Linked DNA regions of Danio rerio. The protein of the gene in region 2 interacts with the protein of the main gene of each other region in a pairwise test. Links are inferred from orthologs where the notes say so. Each region holds a gene or a part of one and is shown on either strand. Other genes may lie near its edges.

The links. The genes of interacting proteins can lie anywhere in the genome.
Region 1: the proteins of ubac1 (region 2) and rnf216 interact in binary tests that used the Homo sapiens proteins (3 or more experiments, as listed by UniProt). The link is inferred for Danio rerio from reciprocal best matches to the Homo sapiens genes UBAC1 and RNF216.
Region 3: the proteins of ubac1 (region 2) and cpsf6 interact in a two-hybrid assay, tested with the Homo sapiens proteins (2 studies listed by BioGRID and IntAct). The link is inferred for Danio rerio from reciprocal best matches to the Homo sapiens genes UBAC1 and CPSF6.

Annotation. Positions count from the first base shown.
Region 1 is NC_133178.1:39,616,804-39,620,563, reverse strand, and holds the start of rnf216 (E3 ubiquitin-protein ligase RNF216), read left to right. Parts: upstream 1-1,231; 5' UTR 1,232-1,309; intron 1,310-3,760.
Region 2 is NC_133180.1:55,322,667-55,326,326, reverse strand, and holds part of ubac1 (ubiquitin-associated domain-containing protein 1), read right to left. Parts: intron 514-3,660; coding exon 261-513; intron 133-260; coding exon of another isoform or gene 130-132; coding exon 43-129; intron 1-42.
Region 3 is NC_133179.1:2,380,916-2,384,575, reverse strand, and holds part of cpsf6 (cleavage and polyadenylation specificity factor subunit 6), read left to right. Parts: intron 1-210; coding exon 211-384; intron 385-982; coding exon 983-1,466; intron 1,467-3,439; coding exon 3,440-3,555; intron 3,556-3,628; coding exon 3,629-3,660. UniProt on the Homo sapiens protein: Component of the cleavage factor Im (CFIm) complex that functions as an activator of the pre-mRNA 3'-end cleavage and polyadenylation processing required for the maturation of pre-mRNA into functional mRNAs.

The DNA of each region.
Region 1 (3,760 bases), on a different chromosome or scaffold from region 2:
TGATGTTGTTATGGCTATAAACAGGTTTTAACAGATTTACCATAGAAATAATATATACCACCAATATATTAAAAGTGTACTAAAGTGAATGCTACATATAGTTTATTCATTCATTCATTTTCTTGTCGGTTTAGTCCCTTTATTAATCCAGGGTCGCCACAGCAGAACCAACCGCCAACTTATCCAGCAAGTTTTTTTACACAGCGGATGCCCTTCCAGCCGCAACCCATCTCTGGGAAACATACACACACACACACACACACACACACACACACACACACACACACACACACACACACACACACACACACACACACACACACACACATTACGGACAATTTAGCCTACTCACCTGTACCGCATGTCTTTGGACTGTGGTGGAAACTGGAGCACCTGGAGGAAACCCACGCGAATGCAGGGAGAACATGCAAACTTTTCTGTTTTCTTATGACATAAAGGCTAATAAAATACGTTTGGAAAATTGTGATTTGTATTTTCACAGCGTTTGATTGATGTTATTGCATGATCTTGCTATGCTGAAACTACTTCAGTTTAAAACTTCACAGAAAATCAATTGTGAACGGCTGGCAGTGGTGATATAATAAAATTAACTAATTAACAAATAAACTAAGCCGAAAAGAAAATGAATGAAAGAATGAAAGAATGAATGAATGAATGAATGAATGAATGAATGAATGAATGAATGACATGTTAAACTTGTTCATTGTTCAAAACATTGCATTTTAGTGCATTAAAATAATTTAAAACAACAACAACAAAACATGCAGTGACAGATCCAATGGTTCAGAAAAACCATTATCAAGAATTACCACAAACACATATGTTTAAAAGTGTAGCTGTTAGAGTGATTACTACATATACAGTTTAATCTAGATATAAAATCTTTCAGATTTTAACTTTAGATGGGGCAAACAATTTTTTGTCTCTTAATGACATGCACAGATGAATTATTCACCACAGAACTAACAATGCAAGCTAACAAAATCAATATGGTCAGTTTTGATTTCATCTGTACTTAAATCATCAATTGATCGTTTTAATAATCAAAACATTCGTCCAGATCGCCAGACTCATTTTAAACACCGTAGTGACGGGAAACAGAGACATCTAGAGGTGAAACACCATATGAACAACACATGATGGAGAAGAACTACAACCCCCGATCCACTACAGCTCCTCCTTCTTGTAGGACGCATTTGCGTCTGACGTCACGCTGGCTTGTTTTGGCCGTTTGTGTCGATATCCGGCGATCAAACGCTGTCGATGTGCTGGATATTGTGACTGAGAGGTACGTGAGATTCTTGAAACAGTCTTCGTGTGTTGAAGTCTTAAATGTGCTTGTTTATCCTCGCCCTTCAGCTGAGGTGAAATACCCGGCTGAGAGGGTAAATCTGTCTTGTTTAAGTGATGTCAGCTGGCGAGGAGGGTTAACGCCAAACAGCTAGCTGAGCCTGGCTAGGGAGTTTAGCGAGTGTTGATTTGCTTGTTTCTTCTGCCCTTTGGTACAACTGACTACTTCAGCGATGTTTTTCTTTGAAAAGAGTTGGATAAACGCCTGATCAAATCCTCAGCGCAAAACGAGCTGTTTTCGGCTGACAAACTACAGGAATTAACTGATTGTTTCAAAACATAGTGTGCTGACTACTTAGGAAGCATGCTTGCCTGGTTTTAGGCGCAACCGAACTGAAACACCATAGATAAACAAGACAGGAAAGTACATTTAAATGGCTGCGTAGAGAGAAATTCAGTGACAGCGCTGTTTTCTAAAAAAATAAACCCCCCTTTTGATCAAGGACATCAACTCTTTTACTGTCAACTTTCAAATTCATGTCCTGTGACGTTATATAAACTCAAGCCAGTCAAAGGTGCGGAATTGAAGATGTGGTTTGAGTCTCTCATTTATTCTGAGATGCTTAAAATGTTAGTCATGTTTGGAAACTTCATAGTGGGAAATGAGATGTTCGATATATCTTCATAATTAAAGGGATAGTTCACCCGAAAATGAAACTTTTCTGTTTTTTACTAACCCTCATGATATCCAAGATTGAGGTGATTTGCTTGTCTTTCTTCGAGTTTTAAAGTAGATTGAGGTATTGTAAGTTTGAGGTAAAGATGGTTTTATATTTACACATTTATTCAGTGACAGCTTGTGACATGCTCCCTATATTGTTTACCTTGGTACTTTGGACGTTCGGTCTGAAATCACATGCAAGTATGACTTCAAAACAGCATTAGCACTGTTGATTTGACTTTGAACAATGTTGTACTTTGATAGCCATTGGCTGCTACTAGGGTTTCTCTATTTAGAAATTGCAAAGAATACTTTTCTGAAATTATATTATTACGGAGAAAGTCAGAATGTGTAAATATAAAACCAATTTTACCTGAATATTTAGGGATGCTCCAATCAGGATTTTTGCAGCCGATACAGAGTACACATTCCTTGTCATGGTGATCGACTGATACCGAGTACTGATTCTGATGCTTCAAGGTTTTTAATGCATTAAGCACACTTTCCCTCTAAGTTTAAAGCTTAAGAGTAGATCTAGCCTTTCCTAAGAAAATAAATTAAGGATGCTGCATAAAATACCTTAAACATATTTCTTATAACCTTTCAGGTGTGAACATTTCATGGCCAGAAGCAGCTTTACCTTATAAATATGGTGCCAGATCAGTCTCAAAATAACACATTTACAAAATAAAATTCCTACATGCACAGCACAATTCACATTTCACAAAATCCAATTTGTACATTTGTAAACACAATTCATGAATTCACAATTAAAATCATATATCTTTTCACAAAATTAATTAGATTTGTGTATTTTTGAATCATGTTTTGAATTTACATATTGAATTAGCTTTTTTTAATCGTTTTTATATTTACAAATTTGATTTGTATTTTTTTCATTTTTTTTTGAGTTTTCAAATTTGATTTGTGTATTTTTAAATCCTGTTTTAAACTTCAAATTGAATTTTGTAAATGTGAATTGTGTTGTGGTTGTATGATTTTTATTTTGTGAATGTATTATTTTTGAGACTGATCTGGCTCCATATAAAAACATAAGACAGTATAAACGGGTCACTCTGCATCTGTATTTGATCTGCTATAACGTGAACACGTTGATTGCTCACAGCCCCATCCATCTTTTACCTTGTTATGTGTTGTGGCTGCTGTAGGGAATGTATAATATATGGGAGCACATGTGGGTTTTCTTCTGCCTGTAAACTCCAAAACACCAATCGAGTTATGAAATGTGATTATCGGCCGATACCAATCTTCTGCAGATCGATCGGAGCATCCCTATCAGTAAGTTGCATTGATTGAGCTAAAGTTGGTTCTTATGATCACACATTTGTTCAGTGCCAACTTGTGACACGGTCTCCATGTTCTTTACCACACTACTTCGAATATTTGTCCCAAATGCCATGCAAGTATGACTTCAAAACTACATTAGCATTTATTTGACTGTGAACAATGTTATATTTTGATATAGGGTTGCACAATATATAGTTTCAGCATTAATATTGCAATGTGATATTTCGCAATAGTCAATCGGAGGATATGCTATGTTGAGTTTATATTATAATTTATCATTTGCATGTGTTTTTGATGCCTGGAATTGTATAATGACTTTTAAAAAACGTTCAGGCATAAGAAATTGTACAATTTGTGACTTTAATAATGATTCATTTTATTTTGTTATTTTTATTTTTATTATTTAGTTACTGTGCTTGA
Region 2 (3,660 bases):
TGACACAATATACTTGATACAATTCTTTAAGTGTTTACATACAGCTGCATCCTGTTGATTATTATTGACGCGGAGAGCATCGATCACTTCCTTCTCATCGAAGCCCATCTCCATTAGTGCAATCACTGCCTGCTTACACACAAACGACACAACGCATCTCATTCAAAATGGCTTGGGCATATATTAGTGCTACAGCAATGTTTGAGTTTAAAACTCAACTGTTCTTCTTGTGTTTCTCATGACTCTCACATGACACTAACCCGTGAGTCTGGTCTGAACTCTCTTTTTCTTCTGATCCTTTTAAAGATCTCTGTCAGTTCATCCTGTTTGGCCTCGTCTATGCTGGCCTGGGAGATCAAACGAGCACGGGCTGCTAAAGCTGTGGCAGAGGCTCCTGGAGCAGGCGCTGCAGCGGCGGCTGCCCCTGGACTCTCCTGTCCTGGTAGAGGCGCATCAACCATGGGGTCATCAACATGCTCAATCAGCCATTCCATAGCCTGGGTCACAGACATGCTGCAAACAGAGTGCTTTGTTATTAGTGGCTTTTATTTAACCCAACGAGAGCTGAGATTTTTTACAGTTCATAACCCACAAAACCATCTTTTTTGTTCATTTATCTGTTGTTATCTAGATTGTGGTTCTCAACCTTTTTCACTTCGAGGCCCACCTTTTTCTCTGAAAAATTTTTGAAGACCCAAACTGATTGTCTAGAGCAGGGGTGACCAAACTCTGTCCTGGAGGGCCGGTGTCCTGCAGATTTTAGCTCAAACTTGCCTTGACACACCTGCAAGGATGTTTTTAGAGTAGAAAGCCTAGTAAGAGCTTGATAAGCTAGCCCAGGTGTGTCTGATTGGGGTTGGAACTAAACTTTGCAGCACACCGGCCCTCCAGGACCATGTTTGGACATGCCTGGTCTAGAGAAAATGCTTATTTTAAAGCTTTATTTATTAGCAAAACATTTATTTTGCCCTCTATTACTCCCTAGTTTTTCAACATTTTTTTATGTATATATGTATATATATAAAGTTATATATATATATATATATATATAAGAATATATATATATATATATATATATATATATATATATATATATATATATATATATATATATATATATATATAAAACTTTAAAAACACACAGACAGGTTCAAAGCTCCTGAATTCTTTCCTTCAGTTATTCTTTAAAGCTGCAGAGTATTTGGGCCTTTTCTTCATCTATTGATTTATATCCACTTAACCCCAACCCTAAATGTAAAATAAAGAAACAACCATCTAAATATGTTGAAAAAAATCGATCTGATGGTGGTTTAGTTTGTAGCTGGACATTATTAGAGTTCGCTGACAGGAAAGGTGAACGGCTGTTCATAAATGAAACACCACAGATTGTTGCTAGATCCTCCTGTACGGACTCACTTTAGTTATAAAACGCTCGCAAGATGTTAATTTGGACAACTATGAGGATGTTTTAAAGTGTTCACACAAAGAAAAAATACATAGTTTGTGAATCAGGAGACTTGTGTGACTCTGATACAGTATGAGTTGCAGACGTGAGGCAAGCGTGAGCTGCTTATTATAAAACAACATTACCTTTACATTTGCATAACTGTTTGCTTTATACAACTGAGAACATAGTCCCATTTGACGCGCAGCGGTTGGAAATTTAAGCCACAGTTTTTTCACAGTGAGGCTGTTTTTGCACAGTCCAAATTAGTCTGCTCAATCACAGAAAACAGGAAATGCCATTACTATTTTATTTTTAATATGACGTTTAATAATGACATCAAATAATTATAGTACAATATTAAAGGTAATTTTAAGCCATCTCACAGTCCACCTGCAGGATCGCTGAGGCCCACTGATTGAAAATCTTTGATCTATATAATAATTTAGCATGTTTTCATATCATGCCTTAACGCAGCATTTCTCAATCCCCGTTCTTACGCCCTCCTCCTCTACATATTTTGCATGTCTCTCCTATTTAACAAAGCTGATTTAGATTAGCGTTATACCGCGGTCACACTTGAGTTTAAGCATGTGAATTTTGTAGTACAGCGCTGCGAAAAGCTGCGAGATTAAACAAGATGATTAGACATTTAGAAAAGCGAGAGATTTGTTCATATTTTACATATCTGTCCAGAGAGGTCATGTTTTGATCTTTGATTGGTCTTGCACAGTCACGTGATGCAATTTCCCAGGTTAGAGTTAACCAAGCTTAAACTTTGCAATGCAGCAAACTACGAAACTAGTTGCACGAACTTGCATTTTCAGTCTGACACATTCGCATCGTATGAATGGAAATCTATGGGGCCTGCAACACTGCATACTTTGGATGTCTCCTTTGTCTGTCACACCCATTACAAATCTTTCAGTCTCTGCTAATGAGCTGATGATGTGAAACTGGTGTGTTTGGTTAAGAAGACAAGAAAAACAAGCTAATAGTCCTACAGAATTGTGGGTGAGAAACACTGGCTGTTTCTCAATATGCGTTGTTCACCTATCTTGCATCCTTGTGTTCTTGTGTAACGTCATCATCAACCGCAAAAGTTCAGTTACAAAACCCAAGACCGCAAGAACAGAGGACACGCGAAAGTTCCTGAATGTGTTCTTGATATCGAGGATGCGTTTTGTGCATGTTATATATATTCAAAAGGGGGAAAACAAGAAATCGTTGTATGAATTCCGTAGGTGATGCAGTGGCGCAGGTAATGCTGTCGCGTCACAGGAAGAAGGTTGCTGGTTCGAGCCTGGGCTGGGTCAGTTGGCATTTCTGTGTGGAGTTTGCATGTTCCCCCACAGTCCAAAGACATGCACTATAGGTGAATCAGGTAAGCTAAATTATCCATATTTTATGTGTGTGAAAGAGAGTGTATGAGATTCCATGATGGGTTGCAGCTGGAAGGGCATTCGCTGCATGAAACATGTGCTGGATAAGTTAGAGGTTCATTCCACTGTGTCGACCCCAGATTAATAAAGGGACTAAGCTGAAATGAAAATGAATGAATGAACGAATGCTGTAATGTTTTATTAATTTCCAGTTGCGTGAATGCGTGAAGGTCATGTGACCATCAAAAAGAATGCAGCATTTCATTTCTCAGAGGTAGCGTTCTCTGTTCTCATGGTCTCAGAAAGTTCATTCAACCGAGGTAACTTGGCAAGAACGGTCTCCACAAGAACACGAGTCCGTTCTCTGCATTCTTGGAATTGAGAAACAGCCAAGGAAAATGAGCTGGTGGTCCTCCAGGAACGCGGTTAAGAAACACTGATTTAGATGACCATCTCCATGCATGAACTGTGTTCTCACTGATATGTCCCTACGCAGTGTGCATTTCCTAGACCCTTCCTTATTGCTCACTACCTGCGCATGAGAAAATCTTATTTCACTTCAGAACGTTCATTCATGTATTTGTGGCATTGCCTTCAGCGTCTTACAAGTAAATTGTGAAGCATGAGCTTAATGAGAGCAAGCGCAGAGAAAAAGTGAAATGTGTAGCAGGGGGAGCACCTATTAAAGGACTGGGATTGAGAAATGCTGCCTTAAAAGGTACACGAAACACCCCAATATACAGTCCTAAAAGCATATAGTATATACAGTATGAGCATATCAATTCTACATCAAATGTCTACCAATGTGTCTCTAAAGTTTGCTTCAGCAAGGTG
Region 3 (3,660 bases), on a different chromosome or scaffold from region 2:
TTAAGATAAAGTGACAATCTGCAACTTTTTATGTTTTTATCTTGTAAATGTAAATTTTATCACTGTTTTGGAGCACACTAGACTATAGATATCCTTAAAACTAACATCTAATGTTAATTTTGATTTCACGGGGACTTTAAACTTACTGAATGAGAATAGCGTTGCTGTATGTGTGCTGCAGTTTAGAAGAGTGTGTTTTGGTCCACGCAGGCACACAGTCAGGACAGATGTCAGGAGAGGGGAAGGCTGGTCCTCCAGGCTCAGGATCTCGAGGTGGAGGATTCCCTCCTGGCAAAGGTCAGAGACGCTTTCCTGGCCCACCTGGACAAGGAGACCGCTTCCCTGGACCGGTTGGACCTGGCGGTCCTCCACCACACTTCCCAGGTATAAGCTTGAACAGGAGTGAACTTTTGAATTGTCAGTATATACATCAGAACTAACAGCTATTATTATAGGTCTGCAATGGGAGGAAACAAATAGGACTGTAATTTGTTCTATCAGTTGTTGGATCTATAACAACTGATAGAGAAGATTTAATAATGCAAGTTTCTACAACATTATACAGACTTAAAGTAGAGGGTAAAAATGTACATTTTTGTTGTGGACCGGCACATATTGGAATAATGGGAAATAAAATTGGCAGATAAATTGGCAAAAAGAATCATTGAAGAAAAATCAAGTAGATGTTAAAGTACCTTTGGGAAGGAATGAAATGAGATCAGTAATTAATAAGGAAATAACAAATATTTGGCAACAATATTTGGTCTGAAAACTGATGCTCTGAGGTGAATGGGTCACTTTTCAAGTGAATCAGAAAAAGTTGATCAATTGTCCTAAATCAAGAATGGGTGATGTTTAATGTTCACCACAAAACTAGCAGTGTGAGCTCCCAAAATCATACGGTTAGTTTTGATTTCATGTGTATTTTTGTAATCCCTTCTCCTCTCTGCTTCAAAATGTAATGCATCAAATCTTCTTGCAGGTATGCAGGGCCCACCACGTCTTCCCTCTGGCCCACCTGGGCCCCTGGGACCTCCAGGCCCCCCTCCACCTGGACAAGGTCTGCCTCCTCCCCTCGGCGGACCCCCTAACAGAGGAGACCGTCCTCCTCCACCTGTCTTGTTTCCTGGTCAGTTCGGGCAACCCCCAATGGGCCCGATGCCTCCTGGGCCTCCCCCACCAGGATACGGGCCTCCCCCAGGCCCCCCTCCACCTCAGCAGGGACCACCCCCTCCAGGACCCTTCCCTCCCCGTCCACCTGGGCCCTTAGGACCCCCGCTTGGCCTCGCACCCCCACCACACATGCAGGGACCCCCACCTGGAGGCCCACCGCCGGCTCCTCACGTCAACCCGGCCTTCTTCCCACCACCTGGAAACAACATGCCATCATCTGACGGCAGAGGACCCCCACCTGGAGACCCGTACGGCCGCCCACCTCCTTATGACAGAGACTTCCCTGGTGGCAGGTAATAAACACATCGCCCACAACTACACCTATACTCTAAAAAGCCCGAAGTGTATGTGCACAGTTAAATGAACAGTCTTACTATAGTATGCTGTGATGGCATGCTCACTACAACAGATAACACTGCAAATATGCATTCAATTGTTTTTCATTGGAAGCACATTTAGATGTAATTTAATCATTTCACATTACATTTTAATATTGACAGCCATAACTTGATAACATTTTATAAATATTAAAAAATAAGTGAAGTTTCACAAACTAATTTCTAGAAGAGCACGTGATATGATCAACTAGAGCTGATCCTCATCACTGATCATTAGCTAGCCTATCAGATCATTCCAAAACTACTATGAATATCCTGCCTAAACTCCGTTCCCTGTCTTCGTTTTTGGCAAACCCCCTTCTATCCTTCCCTTCTCCTTCCTCGTTAATTATATGATAGGGCAACAGGGTGGCTCAATGGCTGGCGCTGCTGCCTCGCAGTGGGAGGGCCAAAGGTTCAAGTTCTAATTGAGCCAGTCGTTACTCTCTGCCATGAGTTTGCATGTTCACCCTGTGTTCCCGTATGTTTTCCTCGGGTACTCCGGTTTCCTCCAACAGTCTTAAAACATGTACATAAGCGAACTGTAAAGTCATAAGCACTTAACGCATACATACTGAATCAGTCAGAACCACCATATTAACCATAGTATAAAACAAACGAGAGGGCTCTCGAAGAATACCCGATCTCCTATCCAAACTAATGCTCATTGACCAAACGGGAACCTTGTGCTCTTCGATTTGAGATTCAGGTTCTCTCCTGGGACAGCATGCCAAACCTGCTATCATAGTTAAGCATTGTCTAAGTGTGAACTCCTAAATGTATTTATATATTGTTACGTGTTAATGATGTTAAATAATTAAAAGGATGATACGTAACAATCAGTGAGTCCATTGATGCTGGGTGAATAAGGAGAAGACACAAACGCTTGATAAGTGAAACAAAAAGTAAGTATTTATTAATGGATAATGTCAAACAATGAATATGAGATGGAAGATAAATGTAATTTTAAATAATTGAATTAAATAAAGAAAAATAGGAGTGTTGCCAAAACAAAGAAATAAATATAACAAAACGATCTAACTAAACCCCAACCCACTAAACTGACTGATCAAAGAAAAATGCAGAAACAAAACAGTAATCTTCAGCACGTAGCTTAACTAAACTTCATAACTCCCAAACATAATTACACATGAGGCAACGCCTCCAAAAACGAACTAATACAAAGTTATACTAAGCTGCTCGAAATACTAGAATTCTTGTAAAGTACAGACTGTTAGCCATTAGCAAAACAAGATCTCAGGTAATCCAATTCTCATAAAGATCGTTCATATTCTCACTATACATTAACCTGAGCAGCACAAGTTTAACTGATAAATCCATATCAACAAAGAGAAAACTAGAACACAGCACTCGCAAACAAACCAAGCGGAACAAACAAGTCAACAGTTTGAGAGATTGACAGGCCAAGCGCTCCTCCAGAACAGCGCAAGCGCACCGGTTTTATACTGCGCGGACCCAATCCTTATTAGCGCCGATTGAGTGACGAAGGTGAATGACAGCTCACTCGACCAATGGTAGCACACCTGAAACAGGATAGGACCACTGCGAGAGAGAGAGAGAGAGAGAGAGAGAAGAGCGCAAAGCAGAAAACAACAAAAATACCACAAAACATACGTGAAACGTAACTATTTTTTTAAACCTGTCTATCTTGCATTTGGATGGTATTTCCTTTTATTTTGGTGTCGCTTTAGTTTTTAGTTGCTGAAATGTCTGTGCCTCACTTTGATTTAACATGTGATGCAATGTGATTCAGCACTAACGACCACTGCAGCTCTTTGTGTGAATTCGATCCCTGAAGCATTACGCTTCGCTCTGACTCGTGCTTTTAGTTTGCGCGTGTTCATTAATCAGCATTTTGTGTGCTTCAGGGACATGGATGCGTCTCGCACTCCCCTGAGCGAAGCTGAGTTTGAGGAGATCATGAACCGGAACAGAGCGATTTCCAGCAGCGCTATTTCAAGGGCCGTTTCTGATGCCAGTGCAGGTGTGGAGATCATTACACCCAGCACAAATATGAGGTGTGGTGTGTTGTGAATTAACCGTTTCCGTTTCTGCAGCTGATTACGGCAGTGCTATAGAGACTCTGGTG